Nothobranchius furzeri: one gene and its partners. The protein of the gene in region 2 binds, or shares a complex with, the protein of the main gene of each other region. Links are inferred from orthologs where the notes say so. Each region holds a gene or a part of one and is shown on either strand. Other genes may lie near its edges.

Region 1 (7,918 bases), on a different chromosome or scaffold from region 2:
CAAATACTTATTTTCCACCCTGATTTACAAATAAATTCTTTAAAAATCCTGCCATGTGAATTCATGGATTTTTTCCCATTCTGTCTCTCACAGTTGAAGTGTACCTATGATGTAAATTACTGACCTCTGTCATCATTTTAAGTGGGAGAACTTGCACAATCGGTGGCTGACTAAATACTTATTTGCCCCACTGTAGATCTGTTGCTCTCAAGAAGGTTTGTTCCATAATCCATAGCAGGTGGATAACTGCCTTAAAGAAGATTGATAATCTGAACATTGAAGTGTTTTGCTTCACCTGGTGCTCCAGAGAGGTGAGACTGATGAAGCGCAAGAAGAGTTCACCTCCAGACGACACAGCCACGGATGAGTCCTCCCCCATCAGGCAGCCTGTGGCCTGTTTCAGACTCTCCCTCAAGCCCAGGATGGTCTCACCTGCAGGGAAACGATGGTTTAAGAACACAATGCCTTGTTACAACTAATAAAACTTAAGGTGTCTTCTTAAACAGCCAAGTATCTTGGGTTGAATGTCTTTTACCAAAGTTTCACTTTCCTATTTGAGGCCTTCTTCATGAGCTGCCATCTAATGGAGCAATGACACTGCGTTTTTCTGGTATTCCTGGTATGCGTTACGTTGACGGGCACTCCCATATGCACCAGATGTTGCCTCAAGGAGCAAGTCTCAAGCTCTTGGCAATGTGTCTGCCCCCTCATCTCCGCTATAAGGGAGGCAATAAACTCAGGAAACAAGACAAAGATGAGATGAGGGGGCCTCATCGCTCCAACAGAGGACAGCGCATGAAGAAGCCCTCTAGTAGGAAGCTAAAACGGTCAGATAAAAAAAATGTTTTCATCCAAGAAGAAACCTTTATTTTATTAGTTTGAAAACAACACTTGAGTTTTGCGGAAATTAACGAATGCATTAGAGCCTCGTTGCTGAGACAAAATCCATGTTTTTGTTCTGAAAGTGACAAAGTCACATGAGAGATTCAAAGTGGGATGTTACTCAAAAATGTGTCTATTCAGCACTAAGAAATAAAAATGACCCATGGCCATCTACAGAGGTGTGAAAAACTATTTGCCCCCTTTCTGATTTCTTATTCTTTTGCATGTTTGTCACACAAAATGTTTCTGATCATCAAACACATTTAACCATTAGTCAAAGATAACACAAGTAAACACAAAATGTAGTTGTGAAATGATGGTTTTTATTATTTAGGGAGAGAACAAAATCCAAACCTACATTGCCCTGTGTGAAAAAGTAATTGCCCCCTGAACCTAATAACTGGTTGGGTCTCCCTTAGCAGCAATAACTGCAATCAAGCGTTTGCGATAACTTGCTACAAGTCTTTTACATTACTCTGGAGGAATTTTGGCCCACTCATCTTTGCAGAATTGTTGTAATTCAGCTTTATTTGAGGGTTTTCTAGCATGAACCACCTTTTAAAGGTCATGCCATAGCATCTCAATAGGATTCAGGTCAGGACTTTGACTAGGCCACTCCAAAGTCTTCATTTTGTTGTTCTTCAGCCATTCAGAGCAGAGGTGGATTTGCTGGTGTGTTTTGGGTCATTGTCTTGCTGCAGCACCCAAGATCGCTTCAGCTTTAGTTGACAAACAGATGGCCGGACATTCTCCTTCAGGATGTTTTGGTAGACAGTAGAATTCATGGTTCCATTTATCACAACAAACCTTCCAGTTCCTGAAGCAGCAAAACAACCCCAGACCATCACACTACCACCACCATATTTTACTGTTGGTATGCTGTTCTTTGTCTGAAATGCTGCGTTACTTCTACGCCAGATGTAACGGGACATTTGCCTTCCAAAAAGTTCAACCTTTGTCTCATCAGTCCACAAGGTATTTTCCCAAAAGTCTTGGCAATCATTGAGATGTTTCTTAACAAAACTGAGACGAGCCTTAATGTTCTTTTTGCTTAACAGTGGTTTGCGTCTTGGAAATCTGCCATGCAGGCCATTTTTGCCCAGTCTCTTTCTTATGGTGGAGTCGTGAACACTGACCTTAACTGAGGCAAGTGAGGCCTGCAGTTCTTTAGAAGTTGTCCTGGGGTCTTTTGTGACCTCTCGGATGAGTTGTCTCTGCGCTCTTGGGGTAATTTTGGTCAGCCGCCCACTCCTTGGAAGGTTCACCACTGTTCCATGTTGTTGCCATTTGTGGATAATGGCTCTCACTGTGGTTCGCTGGAGTCCCAAAGCTTTAGAAATGGCTTCATAACCTTTACCAGACTGATAGATCTCAATTACTTTTGTTCTCATTTGTGCTTGAATTTCTTTGGATCTTGGCATGATGTCTAGCTTTTGAGGTGCTTTTGGTCTACTTCTCTGTGTCAGGCAGCTCATATTTAAGTGATTTGATTGAAACAGGTGTGGCAGTAATCAGGCTTGGGGGTGGCTACAGAAATTGAACTCAGGTGTGAAACACCACAGTTGGGTTATTTTTTTAACAAGGGGGCCATTACTTTTTCACACAGGGCAATGTAGGTTTGGATTTTGTTCTCTCCCTAAATAATAAGAACCATCATTTCAAAACTGCATTTTGTGTTTACTTGTGTTATCTTTGACTAATGGTTAAATGTGTTTGATGATCAGAAACAATTTGTGTGACAAACATGCAAAAAAATAAGAAATCAGGAAGGGGCAATTCGTTTTTCACACTGCTCACAAAAATTAAAGGAACACTTTAAAGAAACACATTAGATAGATCAGATCTCAATATGAAGTTGGATATCTATACAAATAACGACAGGGCAATGTCTTAGGAACAAAAGGATGCCAAGTCTTTTAATGGAAATAAAAGTTATCAGCCTAGAGAGGGCTCAACTGTGTTAACACCCTAAACTCGGAGTGAAATGAAGATGTGGCAGGCTAGTCCATTATTTCAAAAACTTAATTTCTGCAACTCAAATTGCTTTTCAGTATCTTGTGTGGCCCCCACGAGCTTGTGTACATGCTTGACAACGTCGGGGCATGCTCCTATTGAGACAACAGATGGTGTCTTGTGGCATTTCCTCCCAGATCTGTGTGAGGGCATCCCTGAGCTCTTGTACAGTCTGAGGAGCAACCTGGTGCTGCCTAATGGACCGAAACATAATGTCCCACAGATGTTCTATTGGGTTTAAGTCAGGGGATCGTGAAGGCCATTCAATTGTTTCAATTACTTCATCCTGCAGGTGCTGCCTGCATACTCTTGCCACATGAGGGCGGGCTTTGTCATGCAGTAGGAGAAAACCAGGACCTACTGCATCAGCGTAGGGTCTGACAACGGGTTCAAGGACTTCATCTCGATACCTTATGGCAGTCAGAGCACCATTTCCTAGGCAGTAGAGGTCTGTGTGTCCCTCCATGGATATGCCTCCCCAGACCATCACTGACCCACCACCAAAACCTGTCATGTTGAACGATGTTGCAGGCAGCATAACATTCTCCTTGTCTTCTCCAGACTCTTTCACGTCTATCACAGGTGCTCAGGGTGAACCTGCTCTCGTCTGAAAAAAGTACAGGGTGCCAGTGGCGGACTTGCCAATTCTGGTGTTCATGAGCAAATGCCAGTCAAGCTCTACGGTGCTGGGCAGTGAGCACAGGGCCCACTACAGGACGTCAGACCCTCAGGCCATCTTCATGAAGTCTGTTCCTGATTGTTTGGGTAGAGACATTCACACCAGTGGCCCTCTGGAGGTCATTCTGTAGGGAACGAGCAGTGCTCAGACTGTTCCGCCTTGCACAAAGGAGCAGATATCAGTCCTGCTGATGGGTTGTGAACCTTCTACGGCCCTGTTCAGCTCTCCCAGAATAACCGCCAGTCTCCTGAAATCTCCATGTTCTGGAGATTGTGCTGGGAGACACATTAAAACCTTCTTACTGCAGCACGTGTGGATGTGCCATGCTGGAGAAGTTGGACAACCTGTGCAACTTCTGTAGGGTTAAGGAATCGCCTCATACTGCCAGTAGAGAGCCAAAACTAGCACGAGTGGAAAACCAGCAGAAAAAGCTCAAGAGGGAGAAACTTGAAATGACCTCTACATGTTAAACCAGTCCTGTTTTGAGGGTTTTGTAATTGTTGCCACTTTATGGATGGATTTAATTGATTTCATGCCAGGCCCAATAAAAAAATTGTTCCTTTAATTCTTGTGAGCAGTGTGTGATTGATAGATTGATGGATGGATGGATGGATGGATGGATGGATAGATGGATGGACGGACGATAGATAGATAGAAAAATACAAAAAGACTACAAGTAATAAAAATACTTTAAAATTCCAATCATACATTTGGCAAACATTTCAATTCTTTATAATTTGCTTCCAAGCAATCAAATCATCTTGTAATATTTTAAAGAGATCAACCACTCTGTAAACTTTCTGAAGGTCTTTTTGTTTATATCTCAACTTTGGCTGCTTAAAAAATGAGTGGAAAAATCAGCCTAAGTCCTTAAATGTAAAAGATGTTGAATAAACCTGGAGGTTTGAATTTAAGAAGAAATACTTGCTTTTTGAAAAGAAAATTGTTCTTAACCTAAAATGATTAATAAGTGGTAATTATAATCTGTAATATCAAAAACATAATGGTGCTTTGCTTGACAGTATATCTGAAATTAAAGTATGAAAACATCCATACTGAGGTGGCATATATGAGGTGACATACACACCTTTGTCTCTTTTGAGAAACTCCAGCAGGGTGCGGATGGCCGCAACGGCAGAGGCCATGCCCGGGTCTTTCCTCATCTGAGCCCTGAAGTACTCCACCAGCTCTGATCCAGGACCACAGAGACAGGACAGTTTTAGCATCGGCGAGTCCACAGCAGAGCAGATAATCCCTCACATGAAACGCCTTACCTTCTTCATTCATTTTGAAATAAGATAGGAGCCTAAAAACCGCTATTCCAACTCAAAACCAACCTCTGGACGTTTTATTAGCAAGAATCAGTCAGTTTAGAGATGTTTAGACAGCACCAGAACCGCTACACCGCAAAGCTGCGGCCTCAAATAATTCAGAGAAGCAAAACTGATGTTTCAAATGTTTGATTCAACCAAACCTTTTTACACGCCAGCAAGAAAACAGCTCTCAAAGTCTGAATAGTTCTGTTGACACCATCTAGAGACTTTCACGCTTTTAGCTTCACGCAGCGAGTTGCGTGTCGCAAGAAAATGACGTAGACGTTCGTGTTACCTTCATGCACATTACTTAAATGTAAAGCTGAGTCTACAAGTTAGTTTTATGAAAATAACTAAAATAAATTAAACTAACTTGTGAATAAGGTTTGACAAAATGGAGCAAATAGATGCAAAATGTTCTAAAATATGACAATATACACATCAAAATAAGAAGTCGAACAATAATATAAAATAGAAACGAGATGTCCCTAAAGAGACAACAGACCAAAAAAACAAAATTTGGCCCTGACATTTATTTATAACGAACCAAAATGGCCTGTTTTACATCTATGCTGCACATCAGGGCTGTGCAGAGACCTTTGACGGGGCGGGAGCTCAAAGTAAAAAAAGGGGCACTTATAGAGCAAAACTTTTAAACAGATTCACAATCCAACAGGTTAGAAAATTCAGATAATGAGACCCTTGGGTTCAAACAACATAATAAAAATATATCAATTAGTGTCATTAGTGTTAATGTTAGTTCATAAATAATTGTTTTAGTTTATAAAGCTGACTTATATCTAGAGATGTTACAACCACATTTTTGCCTCTGATCTGAGTCCAGGTTGTTTGATTTTTGATTATCTTCCAATACCGAGTACTGTTCTGATACCAGGTGGTGATGCAATGAGTTACAAAAGAAGAAATAAGTCATCCTTCTGTCTGTATTTGTCATTTTGTTATTTTAGCCTTAAAAGGTCACTCATTCAGGAAGTACATTTAACAGTATTCAAGATCATTTATTGCTATTTCACAGGTGTACAACCAAATTGACTTTGAGCTTACTAAAGACAGCTCTAGCAAGAAGTAGTAAAATAAATGCAACCACACAAAGTTATCCAGTGTGATCTACAGCTATGTTAGCTGAGATCTTTTTCCTGTCAGTAGAAAATTCTTGATCCCATTCCATGATCTCACTGAACTTAGCACTAAACATGAGAGCTCTGCTACCAACCTAACAACAACATCCTTTACACAAAGGCACCATCATCACATTCGTGGCAGGAGACTCAGAGAAACTTAGAAGAATCTTCTCCAAACACAACATCCCGGTAAACTTTAACCCAACAACACCCTCAGACAGAACCTGGTCCATCCAGAAGACAAAACACCCCAACAGAAGCTCAGTGGGGTAGTTTATGTAGTCCAGTGTAGGAGCACTGTCCAGATGTTTACATTAGAGAAACTAAACAACAATTACACAAGAGCATGGCACAACACAGGAGAGCCGCCTCTTCAGCAAACTCTACAGTCCACCTACACCTGAAGGACAAGGGACACACCTTTGAAGATGACAAAGTACACATTCTGGACATAGATGGTTTGAGAGAGGAGTAAAAGAAGCTATCTATGTCAAATGTGAAAACTCCACTTTAAATAGGGGAGGGGCTTAGGTTTCACCTTTCCAGCACCTATAATGCAGCTGTGAATCTCATTCCTAAGCAATTTCTGTCTAGGTCACGCCTTCCTGTGTCTAATCAACATGACTCCCTTGCAAAAGAGGCTAACGACTCATCAGGATATGGAGAGGCCGGGTACCCAGAGTAGTTACAGCTCGTTAAACAGCAACAGACAGCTACAGCTCATAAGCTTGACTCTCCCATTTTCCTGTTAGAATGGACAAAGCTCCTCAGATGAGAAGTGAGATGTTTTAAAGAAACCAAAGAAGTCCAGTTGCCTTCACTTGAACCCTTTGGAGTAATAGTCAACAATAAAAAATACATAATAAAGTAATAAAATGTGTATAATTATGCTCACATTCACTTTTACCATCACCGGTTTGCTTCTAAATACAATTTTTTTGAGTAACATGAATTACATCATGTAATACCTCGTTGAAAAGCTCGTTATATGTACTTTTAGAAACGTTGGAATTATTTTTATTCGATTAGTACTTCAGAAGCTATGATCCGGAGAATCTAGAGTGAGTGATTATTTGTTGTGAGTTTCTTCAACACTTAAGTCTCATGTCCCATTTTCTGTCTCAGACATGCAGCTACCTCCACTGCTCCACACACACTAACCACGGACTCAAACAAATGTAAACAAAAGCTCTGATATTAAAATCCCTCCAGCTGACGTGAAGCAGGAAGAAAAAAAAACCTTACAGGTAGATGAACGCAAACCTTACTGTCGTCTCCATGACTGCAAGGTAGAGCGACAGCAGGGACAACCAATCACACGTTAGTATGTGCAGCAGAGCCAATCAGTGAGCTTGTAGGCGGGTCTAAGGGAAAATGGGCTCAGAATGGGCTTCAGCTTGAAGCGGCTGCCTCCGCATGGTCCTAGTGCCTGATATGTATCACAGTATAACAGTTTTGAACAGTAAAATCTGGCGAAAGAGCGGAAAAAGGATACTTAGGGTACTTCGGACAAAAGGGGCAGGTGCTCAAGCACCCTCCGGCCCACCCCCTCTACACGTGCCTGCTGCACATAAAATAAATCAAATTAAAGAAGGTACAAAAACTCACAAAAGATAAGTCAATCAAAGAAACAACATTTCGAAAAAGAGAAAAGCTGCCATTAGAATATACCTACAGAAAAAAACAAGCAGGAATTTAAATTAGCGAAACATTTTAAAACACCACGCAAAGCTTGTGCATTTTCCTGTTTTATATTTATTTGTCCCACTCCGGTCAAATAAATTCGTTTTTTGTTTGTTTTTATTCTCCATAAAAGCTGGCACCACTAGAGGGCAACATAGTCTTTTTTTAATCAATTTGACAGTAGAACGAGCTCATGCAGCCCTTAG
Region 2 (7,715 bases):
GAGGACTTTCACTTCCACAGGGTCCTTATTCGTGCTGCAGGGATGGTTCTTTGATGTTCCTTTGTTGGTGTGTGTCTTCCGTGAATGTTCTGTTGTGTGAAAATGTGTGTTGATCTCAGTTTATACAAAATCATTTATGTGTTGTTAGTTATTTATAATTGTAAATACATATATATTTGTAGATGATGTGTTGTTGAACCAAATTTGGTACATTCAGTTTCAAAAAGGCTTTGTTTAAGAAAAACATGGAACCAAAACCTCATGAGAGAAAAGGATAGAAGTAGATTTTATGCAATGAGAACAGTTTTAAAATCCGCTGTAGTGTTCTTAAACCAGCATCAGTATTTGTTCTCCTTTACAAGACCTCAGGCTGGTTTTCAGTACTATGTTCTAATGCTGCACAATACAGCTGAGGTCGTTTTATACGCACTAGAGTCTAAAAGCCACTAATTCCTGCACTTTCCAAGGAAGTCTCTGCTAAAGTGTTAATAAAAACAGAATGTGACCAAGCTGATTCATACCGTTCCTGGTAGTTGTGTGAAGTCTTAAAGCCGAAACAAAGGCGTGATGTTCTATGAAGCAGGATGAGCTTACAGAGTAAACGTGGCTCATTTGTGTTCAAACCAAAAGCATAAAAAAAAGAGCGTTTGCTTTATATTTAGAGCATCTTTATTTTGTTGACAATATTTTACAGGGTCAGAGATTTACCCTTCACAGGTTTCCACAACACAGACTTCAGCTTTACAGCATGCGATGCTCCAAACGACGTCTACAGGTGAGCCGTTCACACAGAGGGCTTCTTTCATTTTACTCACAAACAACACGTTTATTATTCATAATTACTTTTTTTTTTCTTAAGACTTGTCTGTACAGCGACACGAGAAGACGTTCAGACTTTTCCAGCACAGAAACACAATCACAGATCTGGAGGGGAAAAATAACTTTATAGGGAGGTGTGAACGTGGCCGGAGGCACGGAATAAATAAGACGTTGAGTGTTGAACCACGGGGGGAGGGAGGGGTTCACTCAAACAGCAGGTCCTCGTCCGTCTCCTCCGTCAGCATGTTAGCCGGCTCAGCGATGGGACCGAGTGCAGCCAGCCGGGCGGCGATCTCCCGTTCTGTCCTTTCCCTGAGCTGCTTCTTTTTCTCCTGGATTTTCTTCAGCCTGGCACAGCGGAAAATAACAGGTACTGTAAATGTGAAGCTTCAGAATGGCCAAACTAAAGAGTAAGTCACCCCCCTACCAGAGCCTTACTCCACCCACACTTCTGGTTTCAAAAATGCACCAAAAGGAGGCGTTGCCTGATGGGGTGAGAGGGCGGGACTGCAGCCTGAACTGACTGGTTTTTTGGAGGAGGTGAGCAGCCCTGAGGCATCGGCTTGTGAGTTGCCAAGGCAACCGGTGCAGAGCCTGCTGGCGGCATAGCTTACCCAGAAATTCGGCTGGTATTAGACCCCACAGTGGTACCCTTTAACCAATAGCGATGGCTAACTAATTCAAATGGAATGCAGACTATTAACCTGAAGAGGGCGCTACACCAACAGTTTTAGGTTGAATATTTAAATAAGATGCACCAAAAACCAAAAATAATGATTACACATGACTCTTACAGTAGTTGACTTCCTAACCCATCAGATCCTTTTACTAATGGTTAAGGAATCCGATGCAGCTGCTCTCACCTGTAGAACTCCTCACGCTCCCTCTCATCCAGCTCTGTGATGATGTAGGTGAGAGTGCGATCAATCCTGGGAATAATCACTGCAACGGAGAGTAAAGATGGTTAAAAACACAAGCATCTGTAGATCTTTGAACAACTCGTTTGTTTACCGTGCTCAATGGCATTCACGCGGCGGTTAGTGATCTTAATGGCTTCGTCCAAGGTGACAAATGATGTCTGTTAAAAAAATATTAATTTTTATTCAAAATTAAATATATATATATATATATAGATATTTTGCAAATATGGCAGAAAAATACGCCTTAAAAGCCATAACAGCACCTGTAAGGAGGCCAACTCCACAAGCAGCTCAACAGCTCTAGCATAATTCCTCTTCAGCCGGGAGAGCTGTTCACCTCCTCGGGCTAGACCGGTGAGTTCATAACCTGACACACACACACACACAAACATGCTGAGCTTTCTGAGGTTCACAGACACTAATCCAAATATGATGCATGTCTGAAAAGTACAATTACACTACTTACTGTCTCCACCTTCTTGGTAGTGTTCAAACACTGGAAGGGTGACACCTGAAAAGACAAATTCAGCATGAATAGTTGTTTCCCATCAATTACAGTGATGATGATGATGATGATGATGGGAAGATTTTTCTGACCCGCCACATTATCCTTCTTGGCTCGAACCTTGACCTGGGCTTTGTTCACATTCTGGATTACAGTTGTGCTGAAAGAAGATGAAAAGTTGCTGCGCACGTCTAACAGACTCGATAAAACACGGCTGTAACATTGTCATTACTCTTACCTAAAGTCACCAGCTGCAAATTTGGCTTCAGCCAATGAGAAAGCTGCTTCTCTCATCACCTCTCCCATCTTAGTTTTAGTCTAAAAGAACAGAGAATAAAAGAAAATTCCATTATTAGGTGTTTTTCTATTATGTGAGAAATAATGCAAGATTTAAATAGTTGCTCTAGTTATTTTAGTGTCAAATTGGCTGGAGTGAAGAAAGAGAAGCAGCAATCATTAAATGTTCTGACTGACTTCAATAATTTTACGAAGGATCTGACGGAAGCGCATCGAGAGAGCGTCAGATTTCTTCTTGAGCAAACTGCGGCCAGTTTGAGCCCCTTTCAGTCGAGCCTTCATGATGGTCTGGGCCCTGCAAACACACAGATGACATTTATTTATAGATTCAGACCTGATGTGACTACACAACCACCTATTGTACATTTTTTAAAGTATTTGTCTAATTATTTTTCTCTGCATGGTTGGCCATCCTGAAAGACAGATACCCACTTTTCTTTTTTTACACATGAATATCTGAGTGAGTTTTTCCACATAAACAAACAGGTGACGTGCAGTCAGTTTGGCTTTAAAATTAGAACTAGACCTTCCTTGTGGCTTTCATGAAGCAGGTACAGACTCTGTTCACACTCAGATGTTAGAAACATCACATGACACAAAAATAGCGCTTCCTCTTTTAAACAGCAGACTCAAACTATGAATAAAATGTATCCGCAGTGCAGACGCGGTCCAATTAAGGTAAATAAATGCAGAAAATTAATTATCACGGCATCTGGAAAGCTAGAAAAATAATGTGACATTTAATGGGGGGGGGGGGGGGGCTAATTTGTTAGCCAAGAGAAAAGACGATACGATAAGAAAAGACGATACTTACATTCTAGACGGGAATATGTCGATCCTGTCCTTTCCAGACATGTTTTCGTCTTTATGTTGACCGATCTACTTCTACGCTTTAAACTTAAATATTTAACTTTACTTGTAACTATAACGAATCGTTTGAGGTTAATATAATATCTCAAAAAAGCTATAATTCGAGCAGGATTAGGTGAACGTAGCTAGCTAATGGTCGTGATCTTGTCCGTCCGTAATGATCAGCTGACCCCAAGTCATGTGACACAGCCGTGAATTTACACATGCGCAGAGAGGTACTCTCTATTAATTCTTTCCGGGGCAAAAAAAAATTGCACACCCATGAATGTGAGCTAACGGGTCTGAGAATTTCATCTAAAAGCAGCCGAAAGAAAACATAGAGAAGCATTTAAACACGCCCATCATAAAATTCCAACTTTATCATTCTGTAACTCCATGACACAGGTGAGTTTTCGCTGACAGAGAAGATATTTGAAGCGACGAAGAGACTGCTAGCTAAACGTGTAGCATTGGCAGCCGCATGTGATTTGGAAACCTTAGCCAGGAAGCTAACACCTTAAAATGTCTTTTTCTGCTTGTAATGAAACCGTATGTTATCTCTTAGCGTTTTATTCATTATCTATGTGCTATAATGTGCCTTACTACTAGTACTAATGTGCTGTAATATTTTATTGTCTGTTTTTAATTCCATATGTTCAAGCCAGTTTTTTGCTCTTAAAAAAAGTTGTGGACGTTGCATCATCCCATTCATTCCTAGACTAAAATTTTGAGGGGGGAAAAGCCTAAAACTACGAATCTTTTGAAGAACTGTTCTGAATTTTATTTATTTCAAACGGGTCAAATATTAATGCTGAAATGTGAATACTTGAAATGCTTGTTCTATGCAATAATCCCAACATTTTGCTTTCTGCACAGGGTTTTCTGCTAATGAGGGTGCTGATTGTATCAAGAGCCGTGCATTATTTATTCTTGATGACTTGTGCAAATATCAGTATTACATATTAAGTCTTTTTCTGTTTCTCTGAAGCCGCAGATTGTTAAGTTCAGATAAGGTGCTGTTGGCTGTTAACACCTTATTCTTCCTAATAACCCCCTCAAAGGGTTATTAACAAGTCTCCTGTAGAAGTGAATTGTGCTTATTAATATTGGAATGTTTTACTGGTGACATAATATTTCACACACTGTCAACAGATTAATACCAATAGAATAAAATCATCAAACATTCTCCATTAAACAAAGAACAACATAGAAAGGTCCATTGCAATTGAGGGAAATAATTTTGTTACAGATTAGTGGTGATAAAAAGTCAAATGTTCTTTGAAAGCTGAATCTCCAGTTTGGATTAAAGTGAATAAACCAGTAGCATCAATATGTGTTGGCGTTTAAATGAAAGTAAACTTGATCTCTTCAAACTGCTGCAAGTAAAATGTTGATCTTTGATGAAAGGTTTTTGGAGTAGATTTAGTTTTGTGGCTGCTCTGCCCATCCATGAACTCAAAAAACTTTATTAAAGTCAAATTTACAACAGCACTACAAAATATTACATATTTACATATTTTTCTGCTTTCACTCTTGAGAGGCTAGCGTTTTATGTATTATCAGAGTGACATCCAAATAGTTTGTTTAATGCTTATTTTTCAAACTAAATATGTACCCCCTTATTCTGTTCACATCTTCACAGCAATGCCGGGGCTTAGTTGTCGGTTCTATCAGCATCGCTTCCCTGAGGTGGAGGATGTGGTGATGGTGAACGTGAGGTCCATCGCTGAGATGGGAGCCTATGTCAGCCTTCTGGAGTACAACAACATCGAGGGCATGATCCTCCTGAGTGAGCTGTCCCGCAGACGTATTCGCTCCATCAACAAGCTCATCCGCATCGGTCGCAACGAATGTGTCGTCGTCATTCGAGTTGACAAAGAGAAAGGTGAGAGCTGCAACTTGAAACGTAACATTAACAGATAAAATTATCCATAAGATATTCTTGTTTTAAACACACTATAGAAGGGGTTTTCAATTATTTTCTGTCATATAAAATTATTTTATTTTTTTGCATAAGGGCTGCAGCTATCAAATATTTTCGTATTCGAGTATTCTATCGAATCATCCATCGATTAATGGAGTATTCTATTTGACGGCGTTTCAAGTGAAACGAGATTGTGGTCTGCTGCCAAAATAAAAACGCAAAATTATAAGAGGCTCAACAAAATATATTAAATTGGTGTTCCCTATTTCCCAGCTGATTTTTATAGTTAAATATTTTATGGAACAATTTTTTTTAGGTTTCTATTAATATCAGTAAAATATTCACAGTAGAATTATTCATTTCATTTACATGTTCAGTAGTAAGTTACTGGAAATGCTAATAACATTTCATTTGTACTTGTGGCGTGTGTCTCTTTATATATATATATTATTATTATTTATTTATTTTTTACAGGTTGGCAACGTAATCTAGTCTACATTGTGTTCAAATATGTAAGCGTTTGTGAATTACATGCTACAACGGCTTGCCATTGCGCTGCTGCGGTGTATGGAGCAGACTCGTAGCAACAACCAGACTCCAGGGAGCTGCAGCAGTTCTGCACCACACCGCTGTAGACATCCACACATAAACAGGATGGTGGAGGTTTTTCTTCCACTTGTGGAGTTTAGTCGCTCACAACCATCATGTTTTTTTCTGGACCACACTTGCTCATGAGAATGCTACCCGCTAGCTTAGCATTAGCAATTCTGCTCGTAGTTTATTCTTGACCCCAAACTTAGGACTGTTTCTGCCTTTTACAATGGTTTGTCTTTGCTGGTTTCTCTATTTTTCCTCCACAGCACCTAGATCACCACGTAGTGCACCAGTAAAATGTGTTCAGACCAGGGACATGCAGAGACCTTTGAAGGGGTGGGTGCTCAAATTCAAAAAGGGGGCACATAATAGGGATGCAACGATACCACTTTTTTCCAAACCGATACAATACCGATACTTGGATCAGAGTACTCGCCGATACCGATTACCAATACCGATACTTCTACCACACAAAAAAATGCAATGATTTGGAATACAGATTTTACTTTCTTCTCTGCTTTCAACAGGAAAAGACTGAGGTAGGTAAAAAGTAAAATATATGAATGGAAATATCACAAAACTAAAATATTAGGTGAACAGAAATGACAAGTTACAGTGAAGCCATTTTCAAGCAACTGCATTGGTATCTGTTAACTTTTACCGATACTGGTATTGGTATCTGTATCGATGCCGATACCGATACCAGTATTGTATCGGTGCTAGGGTTGTCACGATACTAAAATTTCAAACTCGATTCGATACTTGAAAATATTCGGTGCTCGATTTCGATACTATTTAAAAACACCAATTTATTGAACAAGTTTATTCAAAAAATAACATTCCTCAATTTATATTGCAAAAATTAAATGTTAAGAATTAAGTGTGTAAAGTGCTTAAACCTTTCAAGTATCAGCATTTTTTAAAACGTGCATACAAAAACTGGCGAAAGTTACTTTAAATCATGAATTGCCTCACTATATATACACTATTTGCAGAGTGATGTTTTGCTGCTTAAACTCTGTTTAAGGTGCATTTTTGTCATAAGATGTAATGCCATATGTTTTGTTCTGTACTTTTGAACAACTCTGTTGGTCAATAAAGGGAGAAAATGAATTTCTCCACAGTAGGACAGAGGTACATCTACCGGTAATCTTAATTAAAAACAGATTGGCGCACGGCAGAGACGTCATTAAAAGCGCCGGTTAATTAGCCGCGGCTAGTCTGTTTACGCCTAGAAATCCCAGACCCGCTCCAAACGAACAGGGGAATCATGTCAATGATTCCTAACAAAACCTTTCGACATTGAGATGTTTTGGTGCAGATAATGTCTTATTTCAAGGCTGCACCATAGGTGCCCGTCCGCACCCGTTATATGGATATATGCTGACGGCGATTCGCCGATGGATCTAAATACCCCGGGGAATCCAAGTAGCACCAAAGTTGTCAGCGTGAGTAAACAAACGTACTGCATGCTAGAAATTAAGTCCGGGTTGCAATAAACGGGAGTTTCCTTTAAGCACATAAGCGTGAATATACAACTATGTGTCGGACTTGGTATGCTAATTACGTTGGGCTGTGAAGCGCCTCCCAAATTCGCTGTTTATGTTTTTGTTTATTTATTTGGCAGACAAAACTTGGATCGGAGACAACTCACGTGGGAAATTACAATGTAGCCATGTGGCGTCTTCTTCTTCTGTTTGTCTGGGAGGCGGAGGCTGCTTTACGGCGTCTGGCTGTCGTGCGTGTCGGTTAGGGCTGCAACAACGAATCGATAAATTCGATGAAAATCGATTACTAAAAGCGTTGG
Region 3 (7,846 bases), about 6.1 Mb from region 2:
ATTTCAGATTACTGCTAGGAGAAGAGGTTGGACGCAAGGCCGGCAGCTACTTGTAACGAGGACAGCTGGGCGTTCTTTCTCATGCACATTTTTTTTTCCAAAACGAGGAGAGTGTGGTTCTTTCCTGAGATTCAGAAACATCCTCCGCTATACCTTTAAGATTAAAATGTCCAAACAGAGAAAATGTTACAGCAATAAATGTAAAAATATCCTGCTCATAAGATCTAAAGCTGGAAGAAATATAATAAAAATAATAAAAATGCACCATCCTGTTAAGATTTAAAAATAAATAAAACTGAGATAGTAGATAGAAGTGCTATTGATAATTAAATGTACCCTGCTATTTTAAACAGCCCGAGGTTAGTTTTCAAGGGAAAAGAGAAGATGAGAAGAAAAGAGAAGATAAGAAGAAATAAAACAGCAGGACCATCCCTGCTGCCAGCAACTCCAGGAAGCACCGCTAGTCTCCGGACCTGGATCCACATCGTCCTCAGTGGGCTCAAACCATCGCATGTTGGTGCTGGGTCAGCTGCACAGAGAGAAGAAAAGGTTAAACAGGATTTAAGAAAATACGTAGCTATCTGTTGAGTAAATAGGTTTTAGTCCATAATTGTATTTCAAAAAAGATTTGAACTTTACTACAGAAAAACAGTAAAAATTTCCCGTTTGTTCCATAAAGGTAAAAAAGAAGTTTTATTGCTGTGCCTGAATTAGCAAAAATAAGACAAAGAGTGTAGTGTCAAGAATTAAGTTCTTCAATAAAGTTCATCTTGGCCTGTACTAATGGTATTCTGGAAACTTATTTTGAAGGATTACAAGTTTTTATGGGATGTTATTGAAGTTGAAGTGGAGGATTTGTGTTGCATTTAGCTGGAAAGCCGAGTCACGCCAGCACACACGACCTCTCTGGTCAGGTATCACAGGTGCACATTAACGCCTACATACAGCAGACTAGTGACAAGTGTTTGTTTCTTTAAATCATAAATAACGTGCATCATTTATGTTCAGTGGGGTTTGTTACTGTGCACAGAAGAGTGGTTACACAAGAACAGCAGAGAAAAATCAGCCAAAATGCTTTTTCAGTTAGAGATTTAAGAAAAAAAGTCTGATTATTTACATAAGAACTGCTTTTAGGATAAAGATGTAATAAATGTAACACTGCAGTTAAAAAAACATCATATTTTGTTTTTTGTCTCTGAACCTGTTAGGAAAATACACATCTTTGGTTCTTTACAAACATTATTTTTACAGACAATATTTTAGCTACAATGCTGCACACGGATGGAGCCAGCGTCATGTGACCTCTACATAACCGCTCAGTCTTTAATAACCTTTTCTTTTTTAAAGTCACATTTTCTGTACAGATGTTAAAATCTACCGTTTACGTTTCCAGTTTTTTCGTGCTACTGGACAGCACATTAAATATCATCTATGTGTGCTATGTGCTATATAAATAAAGCTGCTGGCCACTTTATTGGGTACACCTTGCCAGTACCGGGTTGGACCCCGTTTTGCCTTCAGAGCTGCCTTAACAAGGTACTGGGAACATTCCTCACATGTTGGTCCATGCTGACATGATTGCATCCCGTTGTTGCTGCAGACTTGTTGGCAGCACATCCATGATGCGTCCTACCGCATCCCAAAGGTGCTCTATTGGACTGAGATCTGGTGACTGTGGAGTACAGTGAATTCACTGTCTTGTTAGAAAAACCAGTCTGAGATGATTCCAGCTTTATGACATGGTAAATTATTCTGCTGGAAGTAACCGTTAGAAGATGGGTACACTGTGGTCGCAAAGGGATGGACATGGTCAGCAACAATACTCAGGTAGGCTGAGGCGTTGCAACGATGATCAGTTAGTACTAAGGGACCCAAAGTGTGCCAAGAAAATGTCCCCCACACCATTACACCACCACCACCAGCAGCCTGAACCGTTGAGGCAAGGCAGGATGGATCCATGCTTTCATGTTGTTGACGCCAAATTCTGACCCTACCATCTGAATGTTGCAGCACACAACATTCTTCCAGTCTTCTATTGTCCAGTTTTGGTAAGCCTGTATGAATTGCAGCCTCAGTTTCATGATCTTAGCTGACAGGAGTGGCACCCGGTGTGGTCTTCTGCTGCTGTAACTCATCTACCTCAAGGTTCGACGTGTCGATGCTCTTCTGCACACCTTGACTGTAACAATTGGTTATTTGAGTTACTGTTGTCTTTCTATCAACTGGAACCAGTCTGGCCATTCTCCTCTGACCTCTGGCACCAACAAGGCATTTTCACCCACAGAACTGCTGCACACTGGATGTTTTCCCTTTTTCAGACCATTCTCTGTAAACTCTAGAGATGGTGGTGTGTCACAATCCCAGAAGATCAGCAGGTTCTGAAATACTCAGACCAGCCCGTCTGGCACTAACAACCAGACCACGTTCAAAGTCACTTCACTTACCTTTCATCCCTCATTCTGAAGCTCAGTTTGAACTTCAGCCGATCATCTTGACCATGCCAACACGCCTAAATGCATTAAGTTGCCACCCTGTGATTGGCTGATTAGTAATTAGCATTAACGAGCAATTGGACAGGTGTATCCAATAAAGTGGCCAGTGAGTGTATATTTTAATGCAAATTTTAGTATTTATGTATTTTTATTTGTACCCTTTAAATGTCCTACATCGCTGCAGCTACAATAAAATCTATAAAACTATTTGTTTAATGTCTATTAGTGGCTTGAAATTGTCAAATGGTGGCAAAATTACAGCGTAGCCAAATATTTTAGCGTTAGTTCCATAATAACCTCAACCGCTAGACTGGATCAGAAAGGGGAAGTTTTCCCACCACTAAGGCACGTTTCCCTTAAAACTTTTTCATAAATGAAAACTTGTTTTTACAGAAAAAAAGTGATTGTGTAACTGCTAATGGGAGAGGTGTTTGATTACCATTTATTCATCAAAGATGGAGTCCAGATGTGGATTATCACGTGGTTTTAGTATCTTTAGTCGATGTGTTTACCTCTGTTTTGTGCTGAAGTGGAAGGTTTGTGTGGAACTAAATAAAAGAGGAGAAAACTGCCTTCCTGCCACTGGGCTCTCTTTCTCTCAAAGTAAACAAAACTCAACGTCAATAGTTAATAACTTATTTATTACAGCGATTAAAGCTCGTGGTCCTCCGGGTGGTAAAGCTCACTCATTAGTCGATAAATGTATGAGGGTGCATGTCCTCCAATGTTGGAGATGAAGAGAGTGATGAGCTCAGGAGGAACGTAGTCGAACACTGGACAGTGTACGTTGACTTTAGAGAGGATCTCACCTGAAAAACAAAAAGATAAAACTGATTTCTTTCAATGGATGCAACTTTTCACCTGAAGGCTCAAAAGGAGGTTGTGGTAACGACTTACCTTCGGTGAAAGGGAGGACTTCGTGTGGGGAAACAAATTTATGGAAGGTGTCTTCCTCATTTGGAAACTGCAAAATAAATAAAATATAAAAGTTGAAATTGTTTGTTATTAAGAGAAAGAGCAAAGGTCTGATGGATGCGGGTGTTTATCGGACCTGAGGTGAGAGCTTGAACATCGGAGCACAAACGATGAGAGGTGTTGAGTGATGTTTGGCCGCGAGGGCAAGTGTATGTGTTCCATTGACGGCCCTCAAACCACCATTTGCTAGGACTGTCTGAGTACCGATGATGACCTGCAGACACATCATCACACAAGTTAACCTGCATGCCCTGACGATACCCTTAATCATCAGATGTGGAAAAATACCTTATTAACTCGAGACATGACCGCAAATATGGCCGCATCTGCAATCACGGTTGTTTCTATGCCCGCTTTTGATAGGCTGGTGGCCATTTCATGTCCCTATTAGAAGATAAATAAAGTTTTAAAAAATTATTTTAAACAACAAAGAGTTTAACTTACTTAGACCTCATTTGTCCGTGCTACCTGGCAGAAGGGTGCACACTCTGCTACGATGACATGGAACTTGCGTTTCCGCGCAGCGTCTTTGAGGAAGGCCTCTACGGTGCGAGAGCGCCCGATTGTCATGATGACCTCGTTGGAGTGAATGTGTTCCAGTGCCTGCATCGCAATGTTGTCAGTCGTTCCCTCTGAAAGAGTGAAGGAAGCCCAGAATTAAAGAAATCTCCTTAAAATTGTGGATTTATTCTGCTTGAAAACTAAATAAGCTTAATAAGAACAACTCACCCAGCTCCGTCAGCAACTCGTTGATGGCCTCGATGACGTTAGCTTTAAGAGGAGCAAAATGATGCCTGAAGTTCTCCTCGCTGAGTCCTCCAGAGGTCAAGAGCTTGTGGAGCGACTCCTGTTGGTCTGCTTCTTCACTGCTACCTCGAGATCTAAGGAGAGAATTAACATTGTGTCCTTTTGGAAGCAGGAATTAGTTTTGTCTGTTTTATGTTTTTATTCCGATTACACCCTGGTGCGTCCTCACCTGGCGTATTCCTCTCTGATGATCTTCAGCACCCTTCTGACCATGTTACCAACGGTGGTCTCTGAAGGCTGAGCAGCGGTCATTCTCCTGCCCTCTTTACGGATGATCTCCATGAGATCACCTAAGACAGAAAACGTGAAAATATCAAACAGGATCAGATCACAACAATGGTGAGAGCCAACAGGGGCACACAGACGGATAATTATGAGGTTTGACTGAAGCAACTTTAAATTAAGTTGTTATTGTTCGTTTCTATTCATCTGTCTGCATTCCCATTCATTTTTACATGTATATGGACACTGCTCCACATTTAATCCTATGTACGTCTTGTACTTACATAGCATCTGTACTAAACTAGGCGCACCGTTATGCTAATAGGCTAATATCCTGTTCCTGGAGCGTGGGTTTTAACAGCTAACATATTTCGCGGTGTTTCTCTCCACTTGTAGATCCTATAGCAGCTTGTGGATCTACTGTGATGTTAAGGTTAACTTTAAACTGAAGAAAGGGGACAAATGAAGCACCTGCGCTGCTCCACCGAGCCTGGGCGGTAATTTTGCGGAGTAGCGCCGTCGTTTCTCTGGCCGTTTCAGCCGAACCTCTCAGAGGTCCGGTTCCGCTGCCTCCCCGCTTCAGGTCCGACAGGAAAGCTTCGACCCTCTCCGTCAGGTCCGTTTCTTTGTACGGGCCCGGCATAGTTCAAGTAAAAACTACAGAACTAACCGGCAGAAAACAGATATAGGCGAATTTCTACCATAAAAATCGGGAACCGGAATTTCTTCTGAATTACATCCGGGGGACGCGGGTGTTCTTCTCTCTGATTGGTTGACTGATTACTGCGTCTATCTTCATCACCTTTTAAGCGATATCTTTAAAACGTAAATAAACTAGGCATCTCATCCTAAAAATACTTGATTTTTTTATTTAGCTTTAATGTTTATTCAACCTTTATTTAGGATTAAAGTCCATTTTTCAAAGGAGACTTGGCCAAAGGCGGCAGCATGGGTAAGAAAGGAGTTCGGGGCCTTTCCCATTTGATTTTGAATTTTAAAAAATGTCTGTCCTTCAACAACTAACGAAAAGTTATTTTTTGTGCTATTTTATTTTACTAATAAAAAAAATTAATGAAGTAATCAATTAGAAAAAAGCAGACAGGGCATAATAAAAAATATGTTAATTCAATACAAATTTGTGAAAATATTATGCACGTGTTATTTGCTCAAAACTTAGGTAGGTGAAGTTTCCTACCATCAAACACATGACCTAGTTTTAATCTGGGCAAATTTTTGATTTTTTAGTAATTTTGTTATTCTTGCATAAGTTTTACATAGATCATAATTTCTTGGTTACAAATTCAGTTTTCCTTGTATTTTATTATCTCCATGCAACAGAATACCTGTTTGGATCACTGTAATTTTTATTATAGGACTGGCAAAAAAAAAAAAAAAATTCTGAACATTCTTTGAACAGGGAAACACCTTTACAAACTTAACTCATGTAAATCCATCCAATATTTTTATTGAATAAAAGCCCAACACAAATTTACAAAATTTATCAGTCAACATAAAAATCACTGACTGCGCTGAATGCGCATGTTCCATTGTTAAAAATGTACCAGGACAGCCATTACTTCCTGTCAAAACCAATATGAAAACCTGCAAACACCCACATTGACGTGACCCAAGATTCAAACACTTCCAACGAAAAAACAAAAATAAAACCAACACTGGATGGATCTGCAAGGACTGTTATTGGAAACAATATAATCAGGTGTAAAGCAAAAAAGGGGCAAATGTCTGAATAACTTCTAATTTTTTGTCACAACTACCAACCTGCATTCTGATGAGAAACTTGCATGAATGCGTCATACAAACCATGTCGGTGCAAGAAGAGGATTTTTGGTTCTTGGATGATGGAGGTTCCAAAAACAAAACTCGAACATGCAAGAGATCAAGGAAGTGACCAAATTTACAATAAAGGAATATTAATGTGAAAATTCAAACCCTTCCAGTAGAAGCAACTAAGTGGCAGTTACAATATGAAAAACTAAAGACACAGTTAAATATAGCTACTGAGTGACACGACACAAAGTTTCAGTGGTTGCCAATTTCTGAAAGTAACAACAAACCATGTTTTCAATGAGCCCTGGTCGACAAAAGGACAGATGATCTAGTTTGCATGACATGGCAAAGAATGCATTTCAACAGAAGGGCAGAAACATTCACTCATGGTGTATCCATTCAAAGTGAGCTCAAAATAAAACACGATTCAACTGATGAAGGAATCTTGTTCAGGAAGCTGCAACAGTAAAAACGGTGCAGAAAGAAACAACCATCATCTCACTTCATTTCTCCTTGCAGAGCTTTTCTTGTTGACAGCTACGTAACAAGCAGATGTTCCCCCGGAGGAAAACCCTTTTCTCTCAACCTTGAAAACCAGATTTTGAGCCCCTCAGCCCCACTTGCTGTTGCTTGTTGACGCTAGTCCAAGAAGGGTGGATGCTGGGATGGGGTTGCCGACTGGCGGGCAGGGTTCCTCGGGGAACGGAGCCAGGTGAACCGCTCTACTCGATCAGCTTCTTTGCCTTGAAGAAGCGCCGCAAGTAGAAGACCTGCCATGTGGCCAGTCCGATGAGACAGCACATGGAGAATATACTGAAGTACAACACGCGTGTGTTTGTGGACTCTGTAGTGGTGAGATACAGGAGTTAACCACGTTTTATTATTGAAGTTTTTCTTTTTTATTAGGACTCTTTCCCAAAACACTAAGATATATATATTTATGTGACATCGATGACCTGATGGTTCGGTGGTTGCCTTACCGTTGGTGTCCCGCATCTCCTCTTCCCTCTTCTTCATGTAAGCAAAGTCATTCACGATGGATTCTGACAGGTCCTCCAGCCGCCTCAGCTCAACCTCCAGAGGCTTCAGTTTTTCCACTTTTGCAATCTGAAGGGTCAAAACGGAGACGAATGAAAACACTGACTAGCTTTATCAGTGGTGTTGGTTAACAACTTGTCCAGTAGGTGTCGCTCTGAAACTGTAAATAGAAGTGTGTGAACCTCACAGCTGAACCGGAGATGCCTGATATAAGGTCTCTAGAAGCCCCAATGATTCCTTGTTTCTTCTCTTTTAACACTTTTTTCTCTAATTTTCAACATTAATCTTGATTAACCAAGAATTCTGAAGGTTTGCATGTTTCAGTTTAGGCACTTATGTCAATGTTATACAGTTAATGTTGACTTTTGCAGATGATACTCTTTTATTCCTTCACATTAAATGTTTTAAACTGACAAACCAGACAGAGATATACTTCACTAGCAGTGAAAATTATCAAAAAATCCAAACAAATATTGTAAAAAAAAAAAAAAAAAAAAAAAGGAAAGAAAGAAATTTTGAAAATA

The links.
Region 1: the proteins of eif2s1b (region 2) and eif2b1 are in contact, whole or in part, in a cryo-EM structure (PDB 6K72), measured with the Homo sapiens proteins. The link is inferred for Nothobranchius furzeri from reciprocal best matches to the Homo sapiens genes EIF2S1 and EIF2B1. Residues at the interface, in NP_004085.1 of Homo sapiens: Ala28, Glu29, Met30, Tyr33, Gly44, Met45, Leu47, Leu48, Arg75, Lys80, Tyr82, Ile83, Asp84, Arg88; in NP_001405.1 of Homo sapiens: Gly39, Thr41, Ile42, Gln43, Gly44, Leu45, Arg46, Ala47, Asn48, Glu70, Arg74, Ser77, Ser80, Leu81, Glu82, Tyr83, Ser84, Asp85, Tyr86, Cys89, Leu305.
Region 3: the proteins of eif2s1b (region 2) and eif2b2 are in contact, whole or in part, in a cryo-EM structure (PDB 6K71), measured with the Homo sapiens proteins. The link is inferred for Nothobranchius furzeri from reciprocal best matches to the Homo sapiens genes EIF2S1 and EIF2B2. Residues at the interface, in NP_004085.1 of Homo sapiens: Leu51, Ser52, Arg53, Arg54, Ile56, Asn60, Lys61, Leu62, Arg64, Arg67, Lys87, Ser91; in NP_055054.1 of Homo sapiens: Glu92, Arg95, Gln128, Ser131, Asn132, Glu135, Ala136, Glu139, Val142, Glu143, Glu145, Glu149, Asn150.

What each region holds. Positions count from the first base shown.
Region 1 is NC_091746.1:40,376,400-40,384,317, forward strand, and holds the start of eif2b1 (translation initiation factor eIF2B subunit alpha), read right to left. Parts: upstream 5,159-7,918; 5' UTR 4,862-5,158; coding exon 4,849-4,861; intron 4,764-4,848; coding exon 4,662-4,763; intron 433-4,661; coding exon 296-432; intron 1-295.
Region 2 is NC_091742.1:8,438,796-8,446,510, reverse strand, and holds the start of eif2s1b (eukaryotic translation initiation factor 2 subunit 1b), read left to right. Parts: upstream 1-3,630; 5' UTR 3,631-3,795; intron 3,796-5,032; 5' UTR 5,033-5,034; coding exon 5,035-5,275; intron 5,276-7,715. Other genes in the region: atp6v1d (V-type proton ATPase subunit D), read right to left, coding at 1,023-1,167, 1,683-1,761, 1,831-1,897, 2,003-2,106, 2,206-2,250, 2,337-2,404, 2,483-2,562, 2,719-2,836 and 1 more. UniProt on the Homo sapiens protein: Member of the eIF2 complex that functions in the early steps of protein synthesis by forming a ternary complex with GTP and initiator tRNA. This complex binds to a 40S ribosomal subunit, followed by mRNA binding to form a 43S pre-initiation complex (43S PIC).
Region 3 is NC_091742.1:2,322,779-2,330,624, reverse strand, and holds eif2b2 (translation initiation factor eIF2B subunit beta), read right to left. Parts: upstream 5,243-7,846; 5' UTR 5,140-5,242; coding exon 4,968-5,139; intron 4,565-4,967; coding exon 4,444-4,564; intron 4,349-4,443; coding exon 4,197-4,348; intron 4,100-4,196; coding exon 3,936-4,099; intron 3,852-3,935; coding exon 3,756-3,851; intron 3,682-3,755; coding exon 3,544-3,681; intron 3,457-3,543; coding exon 3,390-3,456; intron 3,302-3,389; coding exon 3,144-3,301; 3' UTR 3,139-3,143; exon of another isoform or gene 3,113-3,138; intron 781-3,112; exon of another isoform or gene 530-780; 3' UTR 512-529; downstream 1-511. Other genes in the region: drc1 (dynein regulatory complex protein 1), read left to right, coding at 354-416; tmed10 (transmembrane emp24 domain-containing protein 10), read right to left, coding at 7,007-7,128, 7,265-7,391. UniProt on the Homo sapiens protein: Acts as a component of the translation initiation factor 2B (eIF2B) complex, which catalyzes the exchange of GDP for GTP on eukaryotic initiation factor 2 (eIF2) gamma subunit.